Linked DNA regions of Oryzias latipes. The protein of the gene in region 2 purifies or fractionates together with the protein of the main gene of each other region. This does not show direct contact. Links are inferred from orthologs where the notes say so. Each region holds a gene or a part of one and is shown on either strand. Other genes may lie near its edges.

Region 1 (7,808 bases), on a different chromosome or scaffold from region 2:
GGAAAGACAGACAAAGTTTAGGGGGAGAAGGAAGAGGAGGAGCAAGAGGAGGAGGCGGGGAGGGCCCCTCCTCTCGGCACGCAAACACATGCAGTATGGACTCCGGAAAACCTCACAGGAAACTCCAAATCTAGACTTCCTCAAAAGGCAGTTAAGAGAAAAAAACTTTCATTGTCTTCTACATGATTCCTCCAACTCTGTTATGAAACACAACTCCCATCCTTGGTCAAAATGCAACCTGGAATGTGATCTCTAATTTGTTCATAACAAATAAATTATATAAAAGTATAATATAAGGATTTTAATATAACTAAAAAAAATTTACATATGATTATCAGAGACATGAATGCAACTAAGGGACTTATTCAAAATCGTATTTTGGTTTGTGCATCACAGATGGAAGAGAACCTGATCGGATATCGTTCAAACTGTTTTGTTTTTGCTTCATGCACGTTCTAAATTGAGAAAATTTGGAGGGTGAAGTGGTTTGATGCATATTTGCGTCAATATGCATCAAAAAGTTAAATGTCTCCTAAATGTTTTCAAGAAAACTCCATATTTTTCCACCTCATGACAAAAACGAGGGCTGGTAAAAAAAACAAAAAACAACAAGATTTCATTTCAGAATTTCAAAGACTTTCCTTTGAAGCCACAGAGGCTGCTATACTGCAGATGGGGACTCGTCTGAAAAAGTGGGCTTGGTCTTGCAAATGGACTTCACTACAGTTTGCTTAAGGTGTAAATGTGAATGAAACAAAGCAACGTTTAAGCCTAAAAACTCTGAATGTCATCCTCCCTTTTGGAGCTGAGAATCCTCCACAGCCAGGCATTAAGGAGTGTTAGTGGGAGTTGGTGTGCACAGAGCACGCCTCATCACCTGAGACTGTCTAGCAGCTCACCTTGGCTGTTAAAAACAGCACGCAGAGCCTTTTAAAGCAGATTTTAAAAGCAACCCTTCTTGAAATTCAATATTATTATCAGAAACTTGAAACTGTAACTAGACAATAGTTATTATTCCTGAAACTAGTGCAGCTTTTCCCTTGTTGTTCCTGGGCAGTGGGTGCAGCAATTGTTACATATACTCGTTATTTACAAATTTGCAAAATCAATTTTTTGACCTTTTAAGCGTATTATAATGTTCATTCCTCACAAAAAACAACCCCAGGGTGGTAAATTTGATTCATTCACGCATAGAAAGACCAAAGTCCACACTAGGGTTATTGTCTTTTCCTCTCACATGATTTCATGCGCACCTCAATTAGTGGTACAAGAATCCATTCATGAAAGATTAATCTAACTTTGTGGGAATAAGCTTGAGTTAAATTCTTTTACCTAAATGGATACAATATGTACAATATCTTTTAATGATTTGGCATTTAAAAATATAACTAAAAATGCCTTTAAACATTTTATTTCCTTACCAGCACTTTTTATTTACATTAATTAAAACATACAGCTTCAAACATGAAACCTTCATCTTGGGTCTTTTAGACTGTTTTGTTTTTTGTGGTAAAAAAAATCAAGTTTTGTTTGCAGGTTTTGAACGTTTAGTGAACAAAACACACATTCCTCCCTTTGGTTCACCTTCAGCCTTTTGGAATTGAATCGATTTGGTAGATGCGAGTTTGTGATTGGACGTCTTGTTGTTTGCATCACGTGTACATAAAAAGGCAAAGACGGTAGAGACACAACAGGAAGAGAAACCAACAAAGTTGACCAAAAGACGATTCAGTTCCCTATTGATTTGCCTTTGATGCCTTTTTACTAATCTTGTTTGTGTCTGTGGCTGGCAGCCAATTCTGCTATTACCATGGTGTCTGGATTTTTCGAAACATATCTGTGTCATTTACATCCCTAACTCCATCTGAGCAGAGAAGAACCAGAATTTCCAGGTGTGAGTACACTCCTGGATTCAGCTATCAACTCTTTTTTGGGATTGGAACGATTATCAGGATCAGAACCTTTTTTTCCTCCTCTCCTGTTTTGACGTGGCCTCACTCCCTCCATCCCTGCACATTTTAATGACAGTTACCCAGGGCCCCATTCAGCTCAGAAAAGGGTGGGGGTGAAGGGTGCTCTCCATTCAGCTCACGACATGTCCACAGACATAGCCCCTTTACACACGCCGAGGATCTTACTAACTTTGATGATGGTGGATAGAATTCTGGAAGGTCACATTTAGTCTCCATAAGAAAAAATGACAATGGAAAATAAAAATGTGAGTTCTGCACATTTAACACATTTTTTCTGCCTTTTGATTACATCATTGGGTCACCTCTAAAAGCTCATTCGTTTGGACTTTTTTGTTGTTAGGTAATCGTGTTGTGCTTCAGGATTAGAACAACTCTATTTTCTATATACCGTAGTAAAAATAAAAAAAGAAGACAGGAAAGTATCGTGTTAAGTATTCACAAAACATGTGAAACATCTAAACCTCTTAGCTTCTTCAGCATAGAATAATGAATTACTCAAGAGACAAAAAGAAACAGCAAATTTTCTGATTTTAGATGTTATTAGGAAATTTTAAACCTTTATTTTATATTTTTGATTGATTGTGTTCTTATTAATTTTCCTATTCTGAGATATGGGCTACCATAATAAATTATGTCATGGTGGTTATATATTAACCTTTACCATCTTGAAACAGCTTCTAAACAATTGGATTGAGTGTTTTCAATGCATTTATTTAAATTATTCATTCATTCATTCATGAAGAATGTTTTTGGATGGGGGGAGGAAGCCGGAATTCCCAGAGAAAACCCAGGCAAACACGGGAAGAACATGCAAACTCCACACAGAAAGGTCACCCATTGGTGTTCTGTTTCGGGTCCCCCAGCCGGCACTTGAACCAGGGGCCTTCTTATTGTGAGGTAAAAGCGTCACCGTGCAGTGATTATAATTTAGTATTTAACTTATATCCAACTTTTTCTGTTTTAATATTATAAGTCAACCATATCTGTAGTTAACTGCCTAAAAGCAATTGCCAGCATTGATTGCTGTGAGAAAGTATTGCAGCAAAGTCTAATTTATTTATGATGACCTGCAACACATTTCAAAATGTTTGATTCAATAGTTTTTAATCTCATGTGTTACAACATTTATCTAACTCTACAAATGTATTGTGTCCTCTATATTTAAATTATCTTTTGGCCAACATTTGTCTGAATTTAACCACAAACTTGCTCTATTTGAAAAAATGTTTGTACATTTTATTAGTATTATTATTTTTATGTTCGTTTCCTTTTAATTTTGCTGGAACGATTTTTCTTACAACGCATGCGCAGGTGAACCGAAGAGGCTCATGGGTACAGGAAGTCCAAAATGGCGATGGACGCAATGATGTCCACGTCCACCGGTCTTTCTTACAGCAATGTCGGGGAGTTTTACCCCCGAAAGTTCGGCCCAAAGCCGGACGTGGTGCCCTCTGGGGTGACGGAGAGGAAGGTGGGACCGCTGGATAAGCCTGACATGGTGTCGGTGGATGTCCTAAACCTGCAGAATCCAGGTTTGTTATGCTAAAGCATGCTAACAGCTGCTTCCGAGTCAGAAAAAGAAATGTCCTCATCTGTCTGCTTATTATCCGTCACTAATAAGAGCTTTACGGGCTTTTATGAAGACCCCCCCCCCCCCCCCACACACACACACACACAGGCTGTGTTACCGTCTGCTAATGTCTGAATGTGGCTGACTGGTTTGGTGGACCGCTGTGTGTGTGTTAGTTAAGTGCAGGTGGAGTTGAAACACTTGTCTGATTGTTGGACAAGCTGGAGAAAAACTAAACGACTGTAGGTTAAAATTTTGAATTCATTTATTTCTGTTTACTTTCTTGCTTTTAGGGGGTTTAGTTTTGAACCTCTTGATTTGTTTGTTTTTTTAGCTTGATTATTCAAAAATGATCCCAGCTTTATGACAAACTGGAAGTAGCCATCAGAAGATGGTACACTGTGGTCATAGAGGGATGGACATGGTGACCAACAAGACTTTGATGTTGTAACCATGGTTAATTGGTACTAAGTGGCCCAAAGTGTGCCAAATAAAAATATCTCCTGACCATTATACCACCACCACCGCCACCAGCCTGAAACGTCAATACAAGGCAGGATAGATGTCCTTGAGTGAGGGGAGAGGGCAGCTGATGATCCTCTGCGCTGTCTTTACCACTCTATGGAGGCTCTGCCGTTCTGCTTCAGTGCAGTGGGAGAACCACACTGTGATGCGTTAGGACAGGATGGTTGAGCGGTAGAAGGTTACCAGCAGCTCCTGGCTTACATTGTTCTCTTCCTGAGCCTTTTCAGGAAGTACAGGCGCTGCTGTGCCTTCCTGATGACAGTCATGGTGTTGTTAGACCATGTGAGGTCAGCCGAGATGGTGGTGCCCAGGAGGGTGAAGGTGTGGACCCACTCCACACAGTTCTCGTTGATGTAGAGTGGTGGTGGATCTGCTCTGTTTTTCCTGAAGTCCAAGATGATCTCCTTGGTCTTGGTGGTTTTCAGGATGAGGTTATTATTAGCCTGACACCACCTGGACAGTTTCAGGACTTCGTCTCTGTAGGCCGTCTCATCGTCCCCAGAGATCAGCCCCACCACAGTAGTGTCGTCTGCAAACTTCACTGTGGTGTTGCTGGTGTGGGCTGGTCTGCAGTCTGCTGTGTAGAGCGTGTACAGCAGAGGACTCGGCACACATCCCTGTGGGGAGCCTGTGCTCAGCATCTGGGTGGAGGAGAAGTAGAGTCCTAGTTTGACTGTCTGTGGTCTGTTTGTGAGGAAGTCTTTGATCCACGAGCAGGTGAGTGGGTGGAGTCCTAGTTCAGACAGTTTGCTGACCAGAATGTCAGGAACGATCGTATTAAAGGCTGAGCTGTAGTCCACAAAGAGCACCCTGGCGTAGGTGTCTCTGTGTTCCAGGTGGCTCAGTGCAGTGTGGAGGGTGAAGGAAATGGCATCCTCCGTTGATCTGTTTGCTTTGTAAACGAACTGGAGGGGGTCAAAGGCTGGAGAAAGGCAGTCTTTTATGTGTCCTTGGAGCAGCCGTTCCAGACGCGTGGTGATGACAGGAGTGAGTGCAACTGGACGGTAGTCCTTGAGGCAGGCTGTGGATGACTTCAGGCAAGCAGGGATGGAAGCCTGAGCTAGCGACAGGTTAAAAATCCTTGTGAAGACTTGAGAGAGCTGGTCGGCACAGGCCCGCAGAACCGTCCCAGGAACTCCAATTAGGCCCAGCCGCTTTCTTGGGGTTTACCCTGCTGAACATCCGTGCCACGTCCTGTGCCTGCACAGTCAGGGTTTCGGAGCTGGAAGCAGAGTGAGGATGAGGTGATGGGACTTCAGACTGCAGTGGTGTGTGTGGTCAAAGCGTGAGGAGAACGCGTTCAGCTCTTCCGCTAGTGCAGCGCTGGAGTGTGCCTCGGTGCTGGTCTGTCCCCTGAAGTCCCCTGAAATACTCAGACTAGCTCAGCAACAATGGTTCAAAGTCACTTCAATCATCTTCCTTCCACATTCTGATGCTCGGTTTGAACTACAGCAGATCATCTTGACCATGTCTATATGCCTAAATGCATCGATTTGCTGTCATGTGATTGGCTGATTAGAAATTTGCGAAAAGAGCAGTTGGACAGGTGTACCTAATAAATTGGCCACTGAGTGTATAGTGTTACAGTAATAATATTTAAATAATAAATAATAAACCAATTTAACATTAATTTAAAATGCTGATTTAATTAAATCTTTGAAGAAAAAAATAGACAAAAAGCAACTAAGTGTTTGCTAAATGTTGCTGTTGTTAACATGTTCTTGTGGCATTTTTGTAATGATAAAGGATATATCGTAACAAAATTAAGCTCATATGGCATTTTTCAGTATTTCTTTATTCAAATTGTTCTGAATCAGGAGCGGACGAAAACATGCTGTTTGAATGAGAGCTTACTTGTGACAGAAAAAATGCTGGATGGGCTACAAGCTTCCTGCTTTCAAGCATTAGGCTAATTTCAAAATATGTATCAATTAAAAAGTACATATAAAATATATCATCAAAATAGGAGGCTGAAAGGGTAGATCCTTCAGTCTGATTTTCGAAATCCTCAAAGCAGCTGAAAACCTCACGGAGGCCCCCCCGCAGAGACGGTCCACAGAGACGGTCCACAGTGTGGACGGAGCGAGGCTTCTCTGTGGGCTCTTGTTTTGTGAGCAGACCTCCACCTGGGGATCTGAGGGCTTAAAAAGATCAATGACAAGAAGGCCTAAGACTATTAAAACATTGATAAACCAATTCATGTTTTTGTTTTTTACGCAGGTAGAGATTGTTTCTTTTTAGATCTCTAGGGAAATTACGTGGGATTCTGTTCTTCCAAACACTTATTAGATCACTCACACAGATTGAAACACACATTACAAGAATACATGAGTAAACAATGTGTTAAAATACAACAATTAACCCAATAAAACAGTTCAAAAGAGAGAATAAACAGTAATTGGACATTCAGTGTACCAAGCCTCCATCTCAAGACTGTTCGAAGCATATATTCCCTCAGTGTGTCATTCTATAGCTTCAGCTGTTAGAAGGAATCGATTTTGTGCTCCAATTAAAACAAGGATAGCAGAAATTTGGTTTAATCATTATAAATAAGTCAATGTGATTGTGAGTCTGTCATTTGTTGTCATCTTGGGGTTCTGTTTTTGTTCTTGACGCCTTTTTTCCTCCTCAGATGTGCCCATTCACAGGAAGAAGCAGGAGCACGACACCTATGTTTTGGTGAGTGTGCTATCTGAGGGGTAGGGGAGTTCACACAAGCACACAAATGCACCAAACTTCACGTTTTTCTCATGATGTCGCACATGAAACATCTGAAACAGAAACTCTTTGTTCTGCCAGCTAAATGAATGTAGAAAACATGAGAACAAAGTCATGTCGAGAGTCATCATCCTCACATGGAGAAAACCTGGAAACATTTTACTAAGAAGAATCAACCAACCAACTAAACTGAGTCCAAGATTCATCCAAGAAGCTTTTTTTTACTAGTATTTCAAAAATTTGTGAGATCTACCACAGTTACAGTTTTATAATAAAGTAAATAAAATGTAATTATTTAAATTTAATGGTAATTCATAGATTATTCTTTCTTAAAGCTAAACTTTAAAGTTGGAAGATTTGTTCAAACAAAAAAGGAAATCAGAAATGATCTGTGGAAACCTGGTCCAAGTCCTGCCACTTGGGGGCAGTATAGGTCAACTGTTGGGCTAAAACTGGGGGGTTTCCTTCATGAGGAAAATAAATTTCATCTGAAAACAAATCATGTCTATTTTTCTAGATTTTGTTAACTTCAGAAAATCTAACTTGCTGGTTCTTTGACATGAACAGTCAAACAATCAATGGTCATTGAACGCACCATCATACCATTACAGCAGCAGAAGGTCCTCTCTGTTGCAGACAGAGGCCTTTACTTCTAATGGGATGTTTGATGGCGTTTTTAAACATGAAAGTGTTCTAGTTGTTTTCCTGAATACACATGGATAAGCGTCAACTTCTGATCATTGCATTAAAGTGATTTATGTCTGATGACCCTTGTTGGTTTGCTTGAACCCAAAGGGCACTTTTCATCCTTTTCGGAAGTCCAACAGATCCGTCGTTGGGAAGTTCCTTCAAGAAGTTCGCCTTGTTGCCTCGGATCGACGGGTAAGTTTCAAAATCTAGTTTGTAAGCCATGATTTTTGATTATTTATTACTCCATATAGTTAATCTTTAGCTCATCGTCAGTCCTGGTACTTTCCATTCACTGCTTGGCAGGAGGAAAACCCGTACATTGTAATCACATT
Region 2 (7,986 bases):
AGAACCGTACTTTATGATCTGCAACGCCCAAAAAAGAGATGGCCGTGTAGAGAAAATGAGTGAGAGCGCTGTCGTGATGTCCTTCAGCTGCAGAGACATCTGTCAAGGTTAACAGGTCAGCGAGCAGAAAAGTTGGGCAGAAGGACAGCAACCAAGGATACGGTGATCTCCCATTTTGGACATGAGGTCGTCGTTGTCGAAGAGGAGGAGGCAGATCACGGCGATGATGAACAGAGCAGCTCCTCTGGTCTGAACAGAGACACCATCCAGAAAAAAGAAAAACTCAGATTCTTTTTTAGGAAACAACAGAGACTGACAGAGTGAAAAAAAAGTATTTTTCCAGCATTTCAATAGACAATAGCCATGGTTAAACTATGATTTAGCCCATGGCCTCCCTATAGAAGCAGTAAAGATGCTTACAGAACCAAAAGTTAAGATTTCACAGAACTGAAATGGAGGAAAGAACAGAATCTCTGCAGAAAATGTCATTCTAATCCATGAATAGCTCATTTCCAGTCCTCCTCACAACAATAATGCATTAAAAATGAGAGTCTGTAAAGAGTGTGAGTGAACAGGGCGGTCCTACTTTGGACGGTCCTCCTCCGGAGTTGGTAAACAGGACACTGAGGAGCGCGACCACCACCACGTCAGCATGTTCAAACAGCAGCAGAGTCCTGCAGGAGACACGCTGGTAAACGCACAGAAGCAGCTGCAGCTCCACATCACCACAGTGCATCCTACCTCAGAGGACCACAGAGAGTCAGGCCGAAGAAGCCCAGGAGGGAAACCACGCAGCTGAAAACGGCGTGCTTCAGCAGCTTTATCCACTGAAAAACAGCAGGGGAAAAAACTCTCAAATGATCAACACAAACCGTCAGGGATCCAAAAGGGAACAGCTTTTTTTTTTTATCTTTCCCTTCTTCTGGCAAATCTTTGGTATTGAGGGAATCCAACACACCTGTCTTTTGGAGATGATTTTTCCGGATGAAAAAGGCTTTTGAAAGACAAGCAAAATAACAGCACTCCTGAAAAAAATGAAAAAAGAAGCAGCTCATGACATCCCAAAGGCTGCAGTCACACACACCAAACTCCCGGTGCTTCTGAAATGAAGAAACTCACCCCAACTTTAAGATGAAGATGAACTGAACTATGTGGACAAACTTTAAGATGTCGTAGGATTCAAAGACTCCTAAAGCTTTGAGCACCTTGGAGACGACCAGCAGAGCGATGTACTTCGTCAGCCTGTCAGGAGACAAACATGCGTCATGAAGAAAACGTTTATTGCTGTTTATTCTCAGACGTTTAGATCCTGTTGGAAACCATCACCCACTGGCATAAAAACAAAAAACTGATCAATGAGCGTGAACTTCAGCCATAACCATTGACTGTAAATGAGAACTGGACAGAGTGTGACGTCACCCATAGAAAAAGGTTTACTTTCAGCTCCAACCGAATGAAGTCCATTCAGTCGACATCAGTAAAGCAGTGAATGCTGCAAGTCAGGTTGAGTCAACGTTTCTATGGCAACCATTCTCACCAATCAGGAGTGAGCTTGTTGGAAGCCCACACCCCCGACCACTGAAAGTGGGCTCAGGAGCATCTCTTGATCAAACGTTTTGAAGTTTCAACATAAAACCACCTCCTTCTATTTGGTCAGTTTATAACTAGAATAACTTGAACTACAGAATAAAAATATCCTGAAAAAGAATAAGATCAACAACAACATGCTAACAGCATGAATGCTAATTCTGACAAACAGCTGTTGATTTCTATATAAAAGTCAACGAGATTCTGGTTTCTTGGAACCAGCAAGTACTTCCTGTTTGGAACCAGCAAGGGGGGCAGGGGCCTCTCAGTCCAGTTCTTTTATACAGTCAATGGCCATAACTTGACCGTTGGACAGAAAATGCTGCAGACAAACGTCACCTGAGCTTCTTGTGCATGAGGTGTTCAACAGTTATAAACCTTAACAGTAACTGAGTCCATGAGCCTGACTGACATTGGAGGCTTATCTGCACCTGAATGCCAAGTTCAGAGGAGAAATGCATCGCAAAGCTTTTTCTGGAGCTACTCCGGCCTCCGTTTGATGTTGTATTTTTGTTTCTTGGCTCGCTTGGTCAACTTATCAACTATCTGAAGGATTTCTATAAAAGGGGCTGCAGTGGTCAGCATCAGGCCTCACAGCATCCGGTGGTCCTGGTTCACATCCCGACTGGAACGTTTCTGTGTGGCGTTTGCGTGCTCTCTCTCCTCGTACATAGACGTGTGCGTTTTCTCCAGCTTCCTCCCACAGTCCAATGCCTCACGGGTTAATTGGTGTCTCCAAGTTGCTCCTTGGTGTGAATGTGATAGCATGGCCCTGCAACAGTTTGGTTACCTGTCCAGGGTGTACCCCAACTTCAGCTACCAGTAGCTGGGATAGGAACCAGCAACCCAGTGACCCAGAAAGGGACTCAGCGGTTTCTGAAGATGAATGGATAGATATTTGTATAAAAAGGTGGCATGCAGCGATTTATATCCTTTTACTGATTTGGGGTTTAGCAAGTTGTTTGACTTATTGTAGCAGTCGTGCAAAACTGGTTAGCTGATCGTACTCTCCACACGGATTCAGCAAAAACTAAACTGATCTTTCATAAAAACCCAGAAAATTAGCTATTCAGTTTCTTCTGTCCAGTGAAGCCTCGAAAACCTCTATATTTGCTTTGATAATATGAGACATAGATCCTAATTAGGGACACTTTTATCACATTCTAACCAGTGAAAGATTTTTTTTCCCCCATCTCATTTCAATAATGCTTGTGTGACTCACTTGTTTTCAAACTGTGCAGGATGCTGACTTTAAACATCAGCTAGGAGACAAACAGACTTTTCTCTATTTTGCCCTTCGATTGGAAAGGAGGATTTTACCATTTGTTTTTAGAAACATTAAACCAGTTTATTCTGAAGTTTCTATGAATTGGTGTAGCCAACACCTATTCTTGGTGCCTAAAACCTGTTTTATAGTTGGGGAAGACCCCCCCCCTTTCCCTTTAAGCAGTTTCTTATTCAGACCAGCTTTAGGGGGGATTGGGTTTTATGGTTCGATTGCTTGCATTTCTCATATTTCTGTAATTCTGTTCATGCGGTTTGTTTTCATTTTAGGATCTTTTCTTTCATCTCAATTGCACAAGATTTTTAAGTAATTCTGTAATGTGCTTTGGGATTTTATGTAGAAAAATATGCAGAATAAATAAAACAAATTAACAAGGTGTACGAGAAACAAAACACTATTTTCTTTATGACCCAAATTTAATATGGAATAGGAAGAGGGAAACTTTAAAAAAAATATGGTCAAATTGTGTGTAGTGGTATAAATAAAAAAAATAAAAACTAAACTAATCGGTCTAACAAAGCACAGACTCCTGGGTGTAAAATCTTGACCCGAGTAACAAAACAAATGTTTTTGTTTGATGGTTTTCAATTTGATTTCTGATTTAACACCAATTTCAAAAAATAGGTTAATTTGGCAAATTTCTATTTAATACATTTTGATTAGTTATGAAAAACATTCTTCACATAACTAAACTGAACAGATAAGGAGTTAAAAATAAAGTCAAAGCAGATTTGGCACAAAAAAAAGAGATGAAATAGTTTGAAATGCTAATCGACACAAAGATATAATGAAGTGATTTACAGCATTTTCTATGTGAAGATCAACATGATGACATTAATCAAGTCATCCCTGATGACAAACATTTCACTTGCATTGATTATTATTCCTTAGATTGTTTGCATCTGTGAATCTTAAGGTTCACAGGAGCTTCAGAACATGATGATCTCAGGAACTTTTTGCTGCAAAACGACTTCATTGTGCATCTGAATCATAGCACCGATTTTTCCCTTCTTTTTCTGGATTGGACTCTGAAAATCAAACGCAAAAAGGTGAAATACACTTTACACGAGTCCGAAGCTCATCAAAGGATGACACTGGAAACGCAGTGGGGCCCATGATTCAGGTAGGGTGACGTGCAGCTGTTACCTGGAGTCCGGCACCTCCACCATGCCCAGCTTCCCCCCGGACAGGACATTGCTGCTGTACTTCTCCTCCGAGTCCATTCTGAGCCCCGGACACCAACACTTCACATCGCTAATGAAACGCTGCCACAACCGCCACCCACGTCAGGCTAGCAGAGCGTTTCTGCCTCAGGAGGAAAGTCCGACATTTTTCTTCCAAACTCTTCTCTCTGTAAGAGTTAGCTGTTAGCTTAGCTAGCTCAGCAGCTGGGCTGGTTCGGCAGAAAAGAGGTTTTCCTTGTAGTTTGGAACAGCTGTTAGACAAATAAACAGAAAAACAAACACACCGGTCCGGCCGATAACTTACGACAACATCATTCAAAATGTTTCGCTTAAAATAACTAAAGTACCACGAAGAAATAAAAGGATTACGTTAAAATAACAGGTCTGTCCATTAAGCCACGACACTTCCGGACACGTCACGTGCGAGTATTGTGGGTAAATGCTGCGCCTGCGCGGTACTATGTTCTGATTTTTTTTGGTAAATCTTTATTAAAACCTTAAGTTTTCAGAGCACTAAAACAATTCTGAATTAAATTTTACTGAAATCCTTTGATTTAACTTAAGAAAACAATTGATAGTATGGTCAACAGTTAAAAACCTGGAATTTTAAGAATTAAACTCAATCAGGATTTGTTGAAGAAATACCAAAACATAATAATTTTGAACCATTTCTTGATTCATTGGAATAAAATTTGTTAACAGAAAATCACGGTTTCCTTTAATTCTAGCTTTCTGCAAGGCTTTTGATCTGTTTAAGAAAGTTTTTATAATCAAAACTCTTATTTATATAGACTTTTACAGAGCGCTGAACAAGACAATAACAAAAATAATAAATTCTTCCCTCAAATTAGCATTCGTGATACACAAAATAATGACATGTGGGAACACAATGATGATTTGTGGCCACAAGATATAGCGATTTGTGCATACAAAAAGTGAATTTGTTTGTTTAATGTCATGTCCAAGGCTCCATAGATTTTGGCTTTACATTCATCAATATAAATGATCTTATTATGTAAGACATCTGCTTTGTGGTCTCAATAATGTTTTTTTTTTATCCTTCTCCAACCGCTCAGTTTCTCCTCCTGAGGGTACATACAAAGGATTTCAGTTCTGATGTGACACAAGGCTCACCCAAACTGTTTATTAGATTTTGAACCTTCACTTGTGTCAGAAGGACCTCGACAAGTAACACAATAGGTTGATGACACTACAGTTATTTTGTGTATGGGTTAATACACACCTTAATGGATTTATGGAGCAACCCCCCCCCCCCGCAACAAAAAATAAATAAAAAAATGAATAGATTTAAGAAAAAACTTTCTCCATGCGGAGCTTCAATAGTACATTTAAATCTTAAATATTTTCCTGGCCCCTCATAACTATTCTAATGCAGATCTTCATGGACTTTCTATGAGATATGAATTTAAATATTGAACTACAAATTGACACCCATGCACCTAAAATAGTGGTGTTAAATTTGAAATATTTTCACTGAACAGTAAAAGGTAGACTATTTAATACCTCTGTTTCATTGTTTCAAACATTTCATTCAAAGATGTAAATCCTCGAGTGTAAACCCCCAGTTTCAAATTTATCAAAGGGGAGTTTTGAATTTTATAAAAAGCTTTGTGTGAAAAAAAACTTAAAATCAGAAAATTTTAGAATTGTAAAATCACAAAACACAAATACCTAAATGCCATTTCATGTACACTTTATCTTGAATACAACAGTTTTTTTTTTAAATGTTCTGTTATGCAAGCTCCGTCAGTGTTCTAGTATGTAAATGATCAGAAATGCTCATTGTAAATTAAACAATTTAAGGAGGGAAATTAAAGCATTAAACTTGCTCAGGCTGTTTAAAAAATATATCAACACAATGAGAGGAAAAAAAGATGACAGATTTCTGAAACTGCAGAAATCCTTTAGCAATGAGGCGGCTGGGAGATGTTCTTTGTTGTAGTAGAAGTATGAATTACTTTAACTGTTCCAAACATGTTCAAATTCTAAAATTGTGTGCAAAAAAGAAAACTGATGCCCTTTTGTCAAAAATAAAACATTAACACAAAAACCAATAGGTGTTTCAAGAAAACATTTCCATTTTTAATTAGAAATCGATATGAAGTAGAGGGAGTGATCCTAATCTATTCTCCTTTTACCAGTGTTCTTGAATAAGGGAAGCCTTCGCAGGGTCATGTCTCCATAAGTGCACACAGGGTCTCAGGTTTTATTTAGATGTAGAAGAATGTCAGAGCAATATTACAAAATATAGAAATATGAATATAAACTATTTTTGGATACCTTCATTTTATCTACTTTGCTTTAGCTCAGCACGTAGCTCAGGTGTGACTTAACAGTTTGGGATCTTGAGAAAAACATTCATATGCTCCATTTTTACCAATCAATGGAGAATTTTCTTGTCCCCTTTTTACTCAAGAATTTTTAATTGGTTCTTTTGTCTATTGATCTGGTTAGAAACTAGATGTTTTGGGATAGCACTTTATTGATACATCAACAGAATAGCGAGATTCACAAGATGTTAAGATAGTATGTTGGGTTTTTAATTGATGCAAAGTTTTTGGATGTCCAAGTGATGGGTTCAGATCTTCAGTGAGGTCCACACAATCCCAGCAGGATCTGCTGGTAATCTCCTTTAGTGTCTTTCTGTAAAATACAAATACTTTCAGCACAAGTACCTTGTGAACAAAAAAGACAAAGTTCTCTTTTTCTTGCCTGTATGTCCTCCTGCAGGCGTCGGCCAAACATGGCCTTGTACTCCTCAATGATCTTCTTCAGGTCCACTTCGGAGCGGCTCACCAGAATCCTGATCAAAGTGTTATCCCGCGTGCCGCTGCCCTGTAACGGATTCATGACATGCTGGATCCTATTATACCATCACCAGGCATGCTAGGATATTATGGTATTAGCCAAACTAAGAGATTTCCTGATATTTCATGGTCTAAACCTTTACTACATTTGAAAACCGATTCTCAAAAGAAAATACGTTACTTATTAGTAATCTATCTATCTATATGATCAGTTTTACATAGCTAGAAACCTTTTGATACTTTATCACTGCAGTATTTTACCAACTTATTGACAAAAGTAATATAAATTCTAAATCAAGTAAACTTCAGGTTCATACACACCTTCATGGAGTTATGGAGCTTCTCAGCAAAGAAAGCCGGCGTGTTCCAGGCACATTTCACTGCATGGCAAAGAGGAACATGAAGAGAAAAACAACAAAACAAAAAAAACATTAAAAAAATTCAATAAATCAGCTGCAAAAGATCACCAATGTTCACTTGTGAGGCAGACTCCAACATTTAAAATCACACGTTTTGAAATTGATGACCTAAGAGGCTGGGTTTGTTTTTACAAGGCAAATACACTCAGAGCTTTTCACCTCCTACTTAGGGATAAACTCCGCATCTGCAGAGGGGAATGTTCAAACTAGAATCTGGGTCTCAGCTGTGATCCAGATGATGCAAATATTGGAAAACATTGTTAAATCCACAGACCAGGCGACTTCCTTTAATCAGTCACTGGTGTGCTTTTATTTGCACATATGTGATCTGATTCAGCTTCTGAAAATGAAACACTGGAGAAAAAAAAAAAAAGGTTTTATTAAAAAAAGAAAAAAACAAAAACAAACAGCTGATGGGGAAACAAAAAAAAATGGTTAAAGTGTTTTAGAAAATACATTTTTCGAGTAAACTCCAAAAAGTTTTTTCTTCAAAGAAAGTTTTTCATTCCAGAAATACAAACATTTGTTTGAGTTGGCGTGATTGGAGCTGCAGGAAGGAGTTTTGCTTTCAGGGCAGACGCTGCCTGGCAACCGTAGGCGTTTTGTTTGCATTTCTAATTTATCTGGATTGACCAGCTCTCCTGTTAACCGATATCAATCTAAGAGCATTCTTTCGCAACTCT
Region 3 (7,802 bases), on a different chromosome or scaffold from region 2:
CGTGTGGCTCAGCCAATCAGAAGAAGGAAACCCCTGATTTGCATAAAGGATGTTACGAATGTTACCTTTGGGTTTTCCAAAAAAAATAGTAAACTCGAGCTCATCACGCCACCAAGTCAGCTACAAAGTCTGTAAATCAATTTAATATCGACTTTGTGTGACACTTTACTTACAAAAGTGATGTTTTTGAATGATGGCTTTAAAAAGTAATAGATTCTGACTGTATGAATCTTTGCATTTTGGCTGCTCCCACCGCCATCTAACCCGTCCTTCAGCATCCTTCTCATGTCCTGTTTCACTGGAGTCAGGAATTTTGACTACCGGTACTTCGGTGCATCTTAAAAATGTAAAAGCAGAGTTTATTTAAAACTTTACGTTTCATTTTTTTAGTATATATGTCTTTTACATGAAAAGGTGCCATTGATTACCTTCTTTACCTTAAACATTTAAAACAAACATTGAATCATCAATAACAGCTTGCATCAACAAGTACCGGCTTGGGGAAAATTTCAAATCCACTCTGGATTTGCAGATGTGTTAAACCAAAGAATAATTACTTTTTTTATTATGACATGATTTGAATAATAGTGAAAAATAAGCATTAGCGTTGGAATTTTAATGTTACATGTTTTGTTAATGTATTGAAGAACATTTCCTGAAATGCATTATTTTTTCTATCACACTTTGTACGGTCTGCAACAATTAAATGGTATATATGTCAAAACTATCCCAAAATCCTAATTCATTTAGTTATATTTAAATAAAGGATGCCAGTTTAGTTTAGTCTGTTCAGTTAAAGTTTTAGCATTATCCTATTGGATTCTATGCATTTATGATCCTTTCTGATTGTATGTTTACCATACAATTACAAGTACAAAGCCCACTGAGACGACTGTTGTTGGGAATTTGGGCTATATACATTTTTTTTGCCCAAGAAGATAAAAAAGACAAAGTTTTATCACAAACTACCAACCATAGAATGCTGGAAAATGTTTTGATATTGAAACTTCAGATCTTTTTTTAAGTAATGCAACTATGATAAAACACTTTAGGAGAATCAACACTCCTGATTTGTTCTCAATGTCTCCATTTAGTCTCTAATAAAAAATATGCTTTAAGCACAATAATTTTTAAGAATATATATATATATATATATATATATATATATATATATATATATATATATATATATATATATATATAACATTTATTACACAGAATAATTTAATAATTTTGTGTGGGAATTATCTAAAGAACAGAAAGAAAATATTGTAGATGTAGAGCCTTTCAACTCTGTTCTAAAGTATTTAATTACGAAGACCGGCACTAGGAGTTTTGTTGAAAAGGTGGAAAAACAAGTCAAGAATGTCAAAGACCTTTTTTTTTAAAAGGGTTTTATTAGAATCAAAATGGCACATTTATTCATTGCAGTCATCCGACATCATCCTAAACTCACAGCAAGGTTTGAAATTAAACCACAAAGCACCAGATAATGTTTCCTCCATCATTAAACCCAGCCACTCCAGTTACCCCAATACTAAACACAAACTGCACTAAACAGTGTTAGCAGTGAAGCTGCAGTTGCATCACCATTAAAAGAAAAAGAAAAAGGTCTGAAGATGAGAGCAAAGGCTTTTAAAAATCCTGTCTTTAACCCCAAACAGCAAAGATAAATAAAAACTCATCAACCTAAACATCCTGTAAAAACAGATCGAATTTATAGATCTAAAGCTACAATCAGATACTCTTATTGTGAATATATCAAACGTATGCAGCACTTTTCGGTTTCCTGTTGTCACTTAGAAAGAAATTCACTACTTGATATTAAATTCAGTGCAACAAAGCAAAACAAAAGCATGGAATTCCATAAAGTTTAGCTTGAGGTTTGGCTTTAATACTGAATCGAAGGATGGAAAAGATTTCAAGTTGTTAAAACTGTTTTGGTCAGGTGCATAGATCCATTACGAGTGATCTGGAAATGAAACAGTTCGTAAAATATGATCAAGTTTAGGATCTGGTGGTGCCAAACGTGGCACAGAATTACGCTGATAATCCAACAGAAAGATGCCAAAAGGTGTGACACTCCTATAGGCCAAGCGGCATGTTTTCCCTGCAGTCGTGTAGCAAATGCATCTTAGTGGAGCGGCGTCCAGCATTGTGCAACTAATGCTTGGGATCTTGCCATCATTACCAACCTTGAGGGGGGAACAACGTGAAACGCTCATAAAGTGCTTCACCTCTGGGATATTTCACCTGGAAAACCTCTGTGGGATTTTATGTCTCAGAGGGTGAACAGGCAATTGTAAAAATCTTGTGCAATGGTGAAATCAAATATGTAGTACTATAAATTGAACCGTTTATGCAAATATTGTCAGAAATTTTGGTTAAAACGTTGACAGTTAAACATTTACATCACAAATAATGGACTTGGAAGACAGAAAAACTTTTAGAAAGGATGATCCCCCTTAGGTTTTCGTTTGAAATAACAGTATAACAAACTAAAAAAAAAAAGAAAAAGGAAATCACTGCTGTGTTGCGCCCAACTCCCTGCTTCTAAATTTCCGAGATGAATAAATGCATGAGGAAGAAGAAGAAGAATTGCACTAAAATCCAGGTACTGAGAAGAAATTTTGGGCCCCGTGTTGTGTTCAGAGCTCATGAACAGACTGCTCCGAGTCGCCGGAGGCCTTCAGAACAAAAACCGCATCATCCAGCACATAGTAGTCATTGTACATGTCTCCCTCGCACAGGTACGGCAGACGCGTCACCGCTTCCACCTCAAACCCCACCCGCGGGAAAACCTCGCTGGACAGATCGGTCACCTGCTCCTCCCACGTCTTTCCTTTAACTTTCAGGTGTTCTTTTGGTCGTTCCCACTTCCCGCCTGTCAAGCAGAGAAACGATGCTTGGATTTCTAGCTAGATGAAACGTCAGCAGAAGAGACAGAAATGGGATTCCTCACTGACCGACTTCTACGTAGGGCTGAAAGGGAAGCACAGCAGCCAAGACGAGCCGTCCGGTTTTGGGAACCAAGGCTTTTCTTATTTCCCGCAGGAGGTGCAGTGGATCCTCGCAGCGGTCCAGCAAGTTCAGACAGCTGATAAGATCATACTGAAATCCAACATGCTGCCACTCGTCTATACCCAGAACCCTGTGGCACACGGGAAAAGACAACAAAAAGACAGAGAGGAAAAACTTCTAATTGCCAATTAATTTCAACCCAAAAGAACACAGTGTTATTCTGTGGTTGCATTCTTGTATTGGCTTGAAGGGAAGGAACCTGTGAAAGCTTTTAGGATATGCTTCTACTCACTTGTAGTTCCTCCTCTGCAGATGCCACTTCATTGGCACAGACACCTCAGTTGCAAAGACCTGCCTGAAATGCACTCCCATCACCTCTGTGACCCCTCCATCACCAGCTCCAAGGTCCAGGAGTCTCTCTGCCGTCCAGTCTGGGCCGATCCGGAGCAACTGCTGGAACTGCTCGGACGAAAACACGAACATAGACCCTCTCCCCAAAACCCTGTGACACAGAGGAGGGTCAGGAGCAGGAAGAGGAACACAAGCTGCAATTCAAACACCCACTAGCGCTCACCCGTTAATGGAGGTGCGCGACAAAACGGGGCTTAGGACGGTGGACACCAGCGAGTGGTAGAGCTGCGTGAACAGCCAGCCGGACTTCTCTGCGCTCCTGTTGAGAAAATCCGTGGTGTCCGAGTCCAAGTGGCTTTGGATGAAGAGAGGCCGGACGGATTCTCCCAGCAGATCTGGGCAGCATCGGTACCACTGAACAAACAGAACAAGAGGTTTTGATTTCACAACACTTTTTAAGAAGTCCTGAGGTGAACTCCATCTCCTGTCACCAGTCTCATACAATACCACCCTTTACCTACCCCACAGCCCCTCCCTGAAAACAGTTCAGGTCTGTTTGGATTGAATTTTCTCAGCTCAGCAGAGGTGGGGCTGTGTTAAACTACACAGCAGAAAGTAGAATTTAAGAATTATTTCCTATTTAAATGTTAAAAAATAGTCTTTCCTGTGCAAAACCAATTTCCCCCCTTGTGTTTCAATCCCAGTCATCTTTAAAACTACTGTCACATTGTCTCTTTCAGCATAGTTTCTTTTGCAAAACAGAAGTTTCTCTTTTCAGCATCCCTCTGAATCATTTAGGTCAGTGCAAAGAGGCTAAACGAGCAACGAATAAATAACTAATGACAAATTCGTGACACATTCGAATAAGGACATTCTTGGATTTAAAATAAACACTGTAAATTTAGATTTTGTAGTTTTATATTTTCAGAAAAAAAATAAGGACAGTCGTACCTCGTGTGTTTCCCTGGCACCACTGGCCTCGTGCTCATTCACCATATTCAGGACTAGAGAGCGCACGAGCGGGCTGCGCGCGTGCTTAGCGGTCCACATTCTCCTGATGGAGAGCAGAAACGCCACGTAGCCCAGCAGCCAGGCTACAAAAAACAGAGTCTTCAGCTGTAGATGACACATACGGAAAACAATGTCTGAGAGCCGAGAGAGCGGCAGCCGACAGCAGAGGGACAAGAGCAGGTAAGACGAGAAAACCCCGAGAGGAGAAACGTCTCCTATTCCAGGACTGTAAACCAACCTGAGGTGGGCGTGGGGGGACTTTACGGAGGCAAGCTGCTATTTACGCACCATCTTAGTCCAAGCGGAGCTTTGTTTGCTGAGCTGAAACGGCAGAAACTGAGCCGGGATGAGAAACACTCCCCCCTTTAACAATAAAAACAACCATATCCGCATTCTTCTTCTGGGTGTTTGGGTTGACATAGCACCGAATCTTTGGGGATTTACTGCCCCCTGTCGGCAAACACCGGCAACTTTCTGTTTTCCTGCTGAAAAGGGGGTTCCACATTTCAAGCCATTAATCATACAGAGTATCTAACTTATACCGAATGTATGTAGTGATTTATTTATTTCAAACATGTAAAAACAATAAAAATAACAAATACGATCATGATTTTCAATACTTGGAAAAAAATGTTTTCCATTAGACTGATGATGATGATGATAATTATAATAATAATTGTTGTGACTTTATATGATGTTGCTCCGAGTTACCTTAGCGTGGGTGCTATCAGCGGGTCTCTTAATTAGGACCGACGACAGGGACACAGCTTTCGGTGCAAGAGCTTTTACATGTACTTTACTCTGAAACCCCTCATGGCATATACAGGCCGACAGCACCATCTATTGGTGGCGGTGGTTATTACTGTCTATCACAATATACCACATCCCTCTTTTCCCAAGACATGTTAGTCATAACATCTTCAACAGTTGTTTAAACACAAAAGCACCCTCTAAATAATTTGAACATTAGACGGTCTTATGCTCTTAACATAATGGCTAGGCAAATTCAGATTGTAAACAACCTTACATTTAACAATGTGCATCTTAGTGCAGTAGTCTGAAACTTCGACATACAAACATTTAACTTATTTCTTAAAATGTTTTAAAACGAACATACTCTTTTCTTTTACGTAACCATTAAACAAATCAAAGCAACAGTATGAACACAAAACTGTCACATTAACTAGTCTCTGTATCTGGCAGGACGTATGACTGCTCGACCACTGCGTGTGAAGTACGGTGCTGTGTTTTCCATACTCTCTGAAGATGATTTCTGTGGGGAATCACATGCTGGTGGATCAACTGACTCTGGGTTTTGAGATAATAGTCCATCCGAGTCCAAATTCAGAGTTGTGTCCTTAAACAAACTTGAGTGTGTTTTCCTCAGATGCCTTCTGTTCCTCCTGAGAGTATTACCTGATGGTGTTCGCACGGTGTAGGAGCGTGGTTCCTCTCTTTGATGAACGATGACTGCTGGCTCCCAACCGCGGCGGGTTTGCATATGCACAGTGTCACCAGGAGATAGAACAGGTAGTGGTCTTGCACGCTTGTCAAAGTTCAACTTTTGCTTTGATTGCATGTCTCGTAGTTTTTCTGGCACGTTTTGTGGAGTTGACTGTCTCAACACATTACTAGAACATGGCAGGGTGCTGCGCAGGACTCGTCCCATCAACATTTGTGCGGGTGACAAGTTCAATCCAGTAACTGGAGTGTTTCTCAGTGATAACATCACTAGATGTGGATCAGTGCCGGTCTGGATTGCTTTCTTTAGTGCATGTTTGACAGTCTTAATGGCTCGCTCCGCCATTCCGTTTGAAGAGGGAAAACCAGGGCTGGAATGAGTGAGCTTAATCTCCCAAGCATCTGCGAATGATTTCATCTCATAGCTGGCAAATGGGACATGGTCGCTCACTATTTCTTTGGGAATCCCGTGTCTTGCAAACACTGACTTCATCTTTTGAATGACAGAGTAAGCTGTTTTGTCTGGTAAGTTGAGAACCTCCGGGTATTTGGTCAGGTAATCAATTAACAGCAGATACGGCTGACCCTCCAGCTCGAAAATATCTGCTCCAATTTTCATCCACGGCAGCTCCGGAATCATGTGTGGAACAAGTGGCTCCGCCTGATTCTTTGGTTGCATTTGCTGGCACTGTTCACATTTTGAATCATAGTCTCTATATCAATGGACATACCAGGCCAGTATAGCACTTTTCTTGCTTTAGCTTTCGTGCGCTGTATACCTTGATGAGCCATGTGCAGTTTTTCCAGGATAGTTTGTCGGAAGTTCTGTGGTATCACGATCTTGTCTCCTACCATGACTATGCCTTTGTGAATGCTGATGTTGTGTCGCATGGGCCAATAGCAATATAGTGCTCTGTCTAAACTTTTACGTTTAGTTGGCCACCCATGAATGTGTTTTTCACACACAGCTTGTAGTTCACTGTCTGTTGCAACTGCTGTTCTCAGTCTATTGAGTGTGTCTTCACTCAGTGCCTCTGTAGCCTCTAATGCATACACAACTCTCTCATCACAGCCATTTTCACTTGTGGAGTCATTGTCACTGGTTGCTGTAGCACGAGAGAGGGCATCGGCTATGAACATGTGTTTGCCGGGCGTGTATGTGACAGTGAGTTCATACCTTTGCAGCTGTAACAGCATTCCTTGCAATCTGGCTGGTGCTTTGGACAGCGGTTTGCGCATGATCGCTTCAAGAGGCTTGTGATCAGACTGCACAGTCACTGGTCTTCCATAGACATACTGGTGGAATCTTTTGGTAGCAAACACAATGGCAAGCAGCTCTTTTTCAATTTGGGCGTATCTCTTTTCTGTGTCCGTGAGTGCTCGTGACGCATAACATACAGGTTGTCCATCCTGTAGCAGGCAAGCACCCAGTCCATCTTTTGAAGAGTCTGCTTGTAGAGTCAAGGATTTAGTTTGGTCATAGAATCTCAGAACTGGAGCTTGAGTTAGCGCCGTCTTCAGTGTGCTTAACGCAGCTGTGTGGTGTGGTTGCCACTGCCACACAGTGTCCTTCTTTAGTAACTGCCTCAAAGGTGCAGTAACCGACGCTTCATTTGGGATGTACTGTGCCAAGAATTTTACCATTCCCAGAAGACGCTGGAGACTTTGTTTATCCTCTGGAGTTGGCATGTCAATAATGACTTTAATCTTTGTGTCGTCTGCTTTCTGGCCTGCTGCAGTTATGATGTGACCCATGTATTTCACTGTGTCTACTTTGAATTGAATTTTGTCCTTGTTAAACTTCACATTTGCTGTTTTCGCTCTCTCCATTACCTTTTGCAGGATTTCATCATGCTCGCGCTCTGAAGTTGCTGCTATGATCATGTCATCTGCGATGATAAATACACCAGGGATGTCACCAAAAGTCTCACAGTTCTTTTGTTGAAAAACCTCACTGG
Region 4 (7,700 bases), on a different chromosome or scaffold from region 2:
ATTGAATGTTAACTCCAACTTCCTGTCCTCCTTCAGTCTGGCTGCAGCTTTGCCTTCGTTTCATCCCCCCCCCCAGGCGGATCCAGGCGCGGCCCTGGTTCATCTCACGTCTATCGTTGCATTTTCTCTACGTATTTTCAGTGTGTCTAAGACTACATCGTGTTGTCGCTCGCACGTGTTTAATGCTAAAGCCCCGTTAGCTGTCACGCATGTAGGTGTGAGACATTTATTCTCCGCAGTGACCCATCTCCTCCTGCGGGAGCGGAGAGACCCGTGTTGGGGTTAATACGCCGCACGCGCGTAACCATAACCTCAGCCCTCCTCCGGGTCTGTGCGGCCCAGAGAAAAGTTCAGCACTGACTGCATGTATGTAGATACGTTCTAAAAAGTGAAGTAAGGAACTCCTTAATGTGGTCTGGGGAGGGGGCGGTCAGGTTACCTGAATTAAATGTTCTCCTGCTTTCAAGCCTGATCAATGTCCCGCCCCCAAGAGTCCTATACCCCACTGTGATTGGTTGGTTCTTCAGCTCGTCGCACAAAACTGAAAAGGTGTCATTCATACAAACTGGCGGGCGGCATTAACATTAAACTTTCATATTAAGGTGGGGGCCGCAAAATATCATCTTGGGGGCTGCAAATAGCCCGCGGGCCGCGAGTTTGAGACCCCTGCTTTAAACAAACAAATCAGATTCCAACTTCAGCCTCCAGCTTTTAAGAAATACCTAAAAAGCTGTCACTAAAGTTGTTGCTTTCTAAATATAATCGCTTTATTAGCAGCATTTTCATAACAGACAGCTGGTTCTGAATATTCTGCATTATTATTATGGTCTGTGGGATCAACTGTCACCATAAACCCATATTTGGAGTAAAGACTCCTGGTCTTTGTTAAGTGCAGCTCTTATTTTGAAGTGGAAGTCTCCTCTTGTGTTTCCTCTTTTCTGCCATAAGAAACTTTCCAAAAATGTTTGTTTTTGTTCATTCTGCTCGCTTGGGCGTTTCAGTTTAGCGGCCGCTTTAAGAAAGCAGCGGATGGATTTCCAACACGTGACGGAGCGGCATGACATCCGTCAAGAATGACTGGGATGTGGTGGAAAGAAACCACTTTTTCAAAATAAAACTTCCTTCAGAATCAGATAATAAAGATCAGTGATTTTCCCCATTGTAGCCTGGTACCAACAGACCGGTACCGGCACAGATTTACAGAATATATGGAGGAAATAACAATAACTTACCAATGTTTAAAAAATCTGAGCGATACTGACAGGTCATCCCAAACCCAAAGTCTCTCCAGAACCCGGCATCTTTCTTATGGATCTGAAAACAACAGGAAGGACTGAAACTCTGTCTTTCCAAAGTAAAACCGACCAAGTCCAGCTTTACGCCTCTCACCAGCTGCTGGTCAACAGACGGCGCCAGCTCCAGATTCCCATAGACGATGGCCGGGTTGTACAGACTGAACACCACGGGGTAGAAGACCTTCTTGTCTGCAAAGAATGAAGACAGGTCATCAGGTCATCAGGTCATTAGGTCATCAGGTCATCGACGCAGGAGCAGAGAACAGTCCAACCTACTGGGAGCTGTGTGGAGGCGGCAGCTGCTGAGGAACTCCAGCGTGAAGTGAATGTCCACGTCGCAGAAGAACATCAACACGTCGCCGCCCGTCCAAGCGTGAGCGCCGACGTCCAGACCTCGGCCTCTGGAGAACTCCTCTTCCAGCGGGACCAGCGTGTAATTGGAGAAGCTCTCCTCTCTGTGCCAGAACGCAAACGTCACGACCGACGCCAGGAAACGCTTCGCAGCTGGAAAAAGACCAACCTGGACATTTTCTCCAAAGATGACGTGACGTCCTGGAGGCCTTCCTGCCCAAAGTACACCACGGTGAGATGTACCCGCCTGTCCTGCTGCACACACACCTCCCTGAAAGACAGGCGGCGTCTCATCAGCACATCACCAGACCGCTGGCTGTGGGCGGGGCTCCGTCCTCACCTGAAGTTATGTAGGAACTGAGAGAACGTGTCGACTCTGCCCGCCAGCGGCACGATGATGTTGATGATGACTCCCGACGTCTCCACAGACGTGCTCCTGACCTTCATGATCGGGCCGAACGGCCTGAAGAGGGTCACGTGCCGGAAGCTGCTGGAGTCCTCTTTGGCGAAGAAGAGTTCGTAAAGCGTCCCTTTGTCTCGCTCCGTTCTGTAGAGTCCTGCCGGAGCAAACCAGCCAATCAGTAACAAGCCAGGAGAGAAGCCCCGCCCCCGTCTGACAGCTTTACCTTCAGTGAAGTGAGCGTCTGTGTAGGTCTGCCTCTGCATGGGGGCGTCGTCTTCCACCCCGTCCTCTTCGTCGGGGTTGTTGATGATGTCCAGCGCGGCCTCGATGACCTCCACCAGCTCGTCCCGCCGATCCTTGCGGACCGGCTTCTCCTCTGGGTGCCGCGTCAGCCCCATCTCCAGCTGGTACACCTTGGAGGAGCTGAAGCTCTCGAAGGGCACCAGAGCGTACTCGCTGGGCAGACGCGCCCCCACGTTGACCTCCGCCTTGTCGATCTGGGAGTGCAGGTACTCCAGCAGGTCCCCCGGCTCCTGGTCCTTATTCTCTCCGAGGGCCTGAACTCCCGGGGGCTCCTTCTTGTCCTGCAGAAGTTTTAATTTGTCGCTCATCTCCTGAAGCTCCTGCTTCAGCTGAGCGATCTGCCGTTTGAGGCTGGAGGCCCGGCTCAGGTGGCGCTCCTCCTGCTCCTGCAACAGAGCCTGGTAGTACTCCTTCCCATAGTTCCCTCCGTCCGGGCCGGGCAGAACCAGGCTCACGTCTGCAGGCGGCGTGCACTCCAGCATGTAGGCAAACAGCAGCAGCACCAGCAACAGCAGGAGGCCCAACAAGAGCCAGCGGACCCGGCCCTGAAACGGCAACCCGCGCCGGGCCATGGCGTCCTCATCAGACTAGAGCGGCCAGGACTTCATCCCCGTGTCCTCCGCTCACATCCTCCCAAGGCGCCTCCAGGAGAGACATGCAAATGCATGGAGGTCATCTTCAGCTGAAGATCATCTGTCCTTCCATGGGGGGCTCCTGTGAGAATCCAGGACGCAGACGAAACAGCCAATCAGACAAAGGAAGCAGGTCTGAAATCAGTGCTCCTGACTGAAAGATGAGAATGAAACAGAAGAACTGAAGCGTTTTGACAAACAACCGGATTCTAACAGAAATTCACACGAATTCAACGTCCAACCATTTTCAATTATTATTTTAGTGATCAAATAAACGACAGGAGTGATCAGCTCCACCTGCAGAGCTAGCGCCGCGGCTCACGAGCTGCTACGAGATGGTCATGCTAACTTCCGGTATACCTGTCTACCTTACAAAATAAGAGAAGACCGTTTTTTTATATGCTCTCATATTGAGAAACTCACTGTTATTACGGCTAAAAATTCACACGCCATTTTGGAAACAGGTGAACCTGAACTTAGTTACTGTTAGGATTACGCTTAAACCACCAAAGAACATTTCACGCACCTGGGCGCGTGACAGATAACGGGACTCAACTTCAAATACGTGCGAACAACAACATGAGCCTTCATGTAAAAACTCAGTTTGAACGAGAATGAACGAATAAATACGAACAAACGGAGCTTCATGGCAGAGAGGCTGATCGTAAAGTTTAACAGCTTTGGGAATAAAAATAAATCAAACGATGTCATCAGGAATCTAAACTAGTTTAAACAAAAATAAATTCAGCAAAGTGTTGAATAAATCACCACATCGAGAAACAAAACAAAGAGAAGTCTTTTAATGAAGTCTGTCTAAAGATTTATAACTTTCCCCTTTAGTGGTTTTGTGTTTAAAGGTCTCCCAGCTTCAGTTCTGGGCTCAGAAACCGTCACCGTCCTCTGAGCCACAGGCGCGTAAATCAACGTCAAAGGTTCGGTTCCGGTGAAACAGCCGATCCGGATCATCACCGTTAGTCTCGCTGATTTATTAGACAGAAAAATTAAACAACTAAACCGAAATCATGTTTGCACCACGTCAAGCTCTTTATTAAATTGTGCAGAGCAGCTATAGCTTTAAAGTTCAATAGGTTTTCAAATAGCTCACGGATTGAATAGCGTGACATTTGCTGAGCATAAAAATAATTATAATCACAATATTATCTCCAGTATATAGAAGGATAGTTCACTAAACACAAATTCCAGAGGGTTTATTTTCTTCTTTAAGTGAAAAATTAGCGATAAACCATCAGAAACCACAGCAGGAAGTGTGAAATTATTGTGAAAAACCGCGACCGGAAACACCGAACAATTCAAAGCTAGCTTAGCTATCTACGGAGATTTGCTATGTGTTTAGCATGTTTTGATAGTCAAAAACAGCATTTTTATGAACTAGAGTTGAATAAAAAATAAATGACTCACTTGGTTGTTTTATCTTTCATCTCTTCCTCGCCTTAAAGCCGCGTGTTTGCTGGGGAAGCAGCTGCTGCCTGTCCCGCTACAAAATGCCACGGAGCACAGAAAGAAGCTGGTCGGAGTCAATTTCCGGTCCTCAACTGGCCAATGGGTGCTTCGCTGACGCCTTACGTCATCAGACATGCTGAGGCTCACAACAAAAACATTCCTTTTTGCAAATGTTTTATCTTTATTACTATATAATTATTGCATTTTATGCTAATTTAATTTAGTTCATTTTTTTAACTGTTGGATGTTTTTGGTTTTAGTTGCATCTCGAGGATTCATTAAAATGCTAAGCACACTATAAATTAAAAATTATATATAAATGTACGTAATTACTTTACATTTTCCCATATTTCTGAAATATAAAATAAATCTAGATTTGAATGACTTACAGTCTAACTACAGTTAGACCGACTCTGAACTGGACCTTTAATGCTTCCAGATTTAATCACTAACAGAAATCATGTTAAATTACTGACTTTCAATAAGTAAAGCAGTAAATGTTTCCACAAACTTCCATGATCAGCCATCAGATGTGACTGGAACACACAGAACCTCATGGGAACTGCTGACCTCGGCTTCATCACAGAAGTTTCAGAAATGTAAGAATGTCATTTTTTATAAAATGTTGTATATTGTCAGAGTACAACATGGAACACAAAGTATCTGATGAAAAGCTCATAAATACAAATGTTTAAATCTTACTGCTCGAGTCCTTTTTCCTCTTTGTCACAACAACAAACATTTGTTTAAGCCTGAAGGAAATGAAAAAATTTTGTTTGTGGATTTAAAATATTTTTGAAACTTTAGAACACCTAATATCACAATGATAGTTCTAGTACAAACTTACTTTGAAGTAAGTCTAAAATCTTGATTTCACCAAATGTAATAAACATCAAAGAATTTGAATCAATTTTGTTCTATTTTTGAACCAAACTTTGAAGTTCTAGACTTGATTTTATCTGTTTTTTTCACAAACGTTTCTGCATGTGTCATAGTTTAGTGAGATGAGAAATAAAACACAGAGAGACTTTTTAACGAGCCGATGGTGCCACAGATATCTTTATGTAAACGTTGAAAGGACAAGGTTCAAATCTGAATGTTTATTAATAAGTGAAACACAATCAAAAAACAGAACAGCAGTGACAGAGTTTGGCTTACACAAGCATGACAGTGATTGGAAACTTGGACAAAGGAGCTGAAAACATCAAACTCACGGTCTCACATCCTTTAAACAGAGCAGCTTTATTAGATTAAAGTTTGAATGTAAAAAAAACAACAGCAAACATACACATAAATACCAGAGCAAAACTAAGAAGATAGTTCCTAAAACATGTTGGAGCTTCTTTTGTTTGGCAGCTTGGAAACATCTTGTTGGAGAAACATTGTGGACATTTCCAGGAACCCCTACAGTAGAACCTTTCCACGTTCAGAAGCAGTCCCGACTCAGTCGCAGCTGTCTACCGCCTGTGATGGTGCAGTGTCCCCGTTCAGTCCTGGACTGGAACTGGTCTTCGTGCTGCACTCTGACAGCAGGAGGTTTTTGTAGAAGCATCACAGGCACTTAAAGGACAACAACACCGACGAAAAACTGGGACAATCGTCATGCAGTGATACAGTTTGGCCAACGTGACCTGTGAGGTCACGACTAACACAGTGGAGAGCTCCATAACACACGGGTCTGTTTGACCCTGGCGCTTGTGCAGCGAACAGACTTGGTTTTGTAAAGCTGAATACCCGTGCAGCAGAAATAAAAGGGAACCAACTTTACCATCGGATTGTTTTTATGTACAGCCGTACAGAATATCTAGTCATCTTTCTACAGGGCTGTCTTTAGCTATCAAGCGTGTCCACAGCTTTTGGGGGTGAGGGCAAAGCCATCCAGTTTGCATAAACACTATCATTGGCATATCTTGTAAAGACTGGGTTAGTGGCATCATGTCTGCTGAGCGGTACCAGGCTCTTCTCAGGCCAGTTGGGGTATGACATGCCTAAAAACGAGAACACATCATTTTTCTGCACTCAGTGACAGGTAAACAGTGTGCAGGGAGTAAGGCTCTCAAATCAAACTCTGCAGTGCCTCTGGAACTAACGGGGCTTTGGTTTCAGTTTCTCATCAATGAAGCATCCTTTCGTGAAGGACCGCCTTCCATTAACGGTTGGAAATCGCAAACGTGTGAAGCTAAAATCACAGATTTAAATAAGCGTCACTTGAGAGCTGCATTCAAAAGCCTTACTGTTTATATGTTCAGGGTATGGAGTCAAAATAGATCAAATGCCGACACATATAAGAAACTCTGCACATGTAAGACAACCTGGACTCCAAACCAAAACGAACGACTGAGTCAGAGCGGACCTGTTTCCAATGTGACACGACGCTTCCTCCATCAGCCAATGAGGAGCTGCGATCGGGAGCTGGAGGCTATTTACAGGTTACGTAAAATGAGGCGTGGCTAGGAGGAATAGATTATAAATAGGAAAAAAGTATATCTATGTTTATGTATGGTCCATATTTACAAACCTTATGTGTTTTGGTCAGCTTTCATGTACATTTGAAGCAGGTCCAAGTAAAGAAAAAAGTCAAGACACAAACCCCTTTTTCACTGCGCCTCTCATTTACCAGGAAATGGGAGATATGTCAGCATCAAACCACAAACGGCATGCCTAGATCACAGTCACACACACTGGACTACGGAAAGCCAATCACAGCTTGAGTTGTGTGTCCTGTCTCTAAAAGCGAGTAAATGCATGGGAGATTCTACCATAGAGCTTGTTTTCAATCCATGTGGAGGGGAGGGTTCGAGGGAGGGGGGCGTTATTACAGTCCACTAGTGGGGTGTCCTCTTCAGAGAGAGCGTCGTCGTACAGCAGGGCGTCAGCGGGAGTGGACGCCGCCAGGTCCAGGTAATCCTGGGAAGAGCAGACGATGGACAGATTAGGGAGCAGAAGTTCTGCAGAACAAACCGGATCCTGCTGGACTTTATGGTGAGACCGTCTGAAACCCAGGATCCGGACATGCCTGACTCCACTGTCCTGAATCTCCACATTCAGGACGAGCCTCTGTGCTCCACTCTGTCAGTAAACACCTTTACTCCTCCAGAACTAAGTCTGTGTTCTGAACCGCTCAGGAGGAGGAGACGTTCCCGGCGAGTCTGTGACCGGACGTCTGCACTACAGCAATGAAACCACACCAGCTCTGAACACATGAAGCGTTTGGGTGTTGTTGTGAAGGAATATACCATCATTCTGTAAACGGCT

What was found. The genes of interacting proteins can lie anywhere in the genome.
Region 1: the proteins of slc30a5 (region 2) and slc30a6 purify together in Homo sapiens (co-immunoprecipitation; 5 studies listed by BioGRID and IntAct, with this or other methods). This does not show direct contact. The link is inferred for Oryzias latipes from reciprocal best matches to the Homo sapiens genes SLC30A5 and SLC30A6.
Region 3: the proteins of slc30a5 (region 2) and mettl9 purify together in Homo sapiens (co-immunoprecipitation; 3 studies listed by BioGRID and IntAct, with this or other methods). This does not show direct contact. The link is inferred for Oryzias latipes from reciprocal best matches to the Homo sapiens genes SLC30A5 and METTL9.
Region 4: the proteins of slc30a5 (region 2) and csgalnact2 purify together in Homo sapiens (co-immunoprecipitation; 3 studies listed by BioGRID and IntAct, counting the BioPlex papers as one, with this or other methods). This does not show direct contact. The link is inferred for Oryzias latipes from reciprocal best matches to the Homo sapiens genes SLC30A5 and CSGALNACT2.

The regions. Positions count from the first base shown.
Region 1 is NC_019873.2:10,851,589-10,859,396, reverse strand, and holds the start of slc30a6 (zinc transporter 6), read left to right. Parts: upstream 1-3,290; 5' UTR 3,291-3,321; coding exon 3,322-3,505; intron 3,506-6,700; coding exon 6,701-6,747; intron 6,748-7,581; coding exon 7,582-7,668; intron 7,669-7,808. UniProt on the Homo sapiens protein: Has probably no intrinsic transporter activity but together with SLC30A5 forms a functional zinc ion:proton antiporter heterodimer, mediating zinc entry into the lumen of organelles along the secretory pathway.
Region 2 is NC_019870.2:25,539,141-25,547,126, forward strand, and holds the start of slc30a5 (zinc transporter 5), read right to left. Parts: upstream 4,498-7,986; 5' UTR 4,426-4,497; intron 4,308-4,425; 5' UTR 4,096-4,307; coding exon 4,019-4,095; intron 1,243-4,018; coding exon 1,120-1,242; intron 1,026-1,119; coding exon 959-1,025; intron 828-958; coding exon 742-827; intron 675-741; coding exon 587-674; intron 250-586; coding exon 162-249; intron 88-161; coding exon 11-87; intron 1-10. Other genes in the region: annexin A1, read right to left, coding at 6,664-6,720, 6,790-6,912, 7,206-7,264. UniProt on the Homo sapiens protein: Together with SLC30A6 forms a functional proton-coupled zinc ion antiporter mediating zinc entry into the lumen of organelles along the secretory pathway.
Region 3 is NC_019877.2:20,099,632-20,107,433, reverse strand, and holds mettl9 (methyltransferase-like protein 9), read right to left. Parts: upstream 4,519-7,802; 5' UTR 4,504-4,518; coding exon 4,324-4,503; intron 3,787-4,323; coding exon 3,596-3,786; intron 3,524-3,595; coding exon 3,314-3,523; intron 3,152-3,313; coding exon 2,967-3,151; intron 2,885-2,966; coding exon 2,649-2,884; 3' UTR 1,378-2,648; downstream 1-1,377. UniProt on the Homo sapiens protein: Protein-histidine N-methyltransferase that specifically catalyzes 1-methylhistidine (pros-methylhistidine) methylation of target proteins.
Region 4 is NC_019873.2:29,897,454-29,905,153, forward strand, and holds the start of csgalnact2 (chondroitin sulfate N-acetylgalactosaminyltransferase 2), read right to left. Parts: upstream 4,519-7,700; 5' UTR 4,404-4,518; intron 3,139-4,403; exon of another isoform or gene 3,067-3,138; 5' UTR 2,925-3,066; coding exon 2,273-2,924; intron 2,204-2,272; coding exon 1,987-2,203; intron 1,918-1,986; coding exon 1,816-1,917; intron 1,751-1,815; coding exon 1,572-1,750; intron 1,485-1,571; coding exon 1,390-1,484; intron 1,315-1,389; coding exon 1,233-1,314; intron 1-1,232. Other genes in the region: proto-oncogene tyrosine-protein kinase receptor Ret, read right to left, coding at 6,276-6,433, 7,205-7,352. UniProt on the Homo sapiens protein: Transfers 1,4-N-acetylgalactosamine (GalNAc) from UDP-GalNAc to the non-reducing end of glucuronic acid (GlcUA). Required for addition of the first GalNAc to the core tetrasaccharide linker and for elongation of chondroitin chains.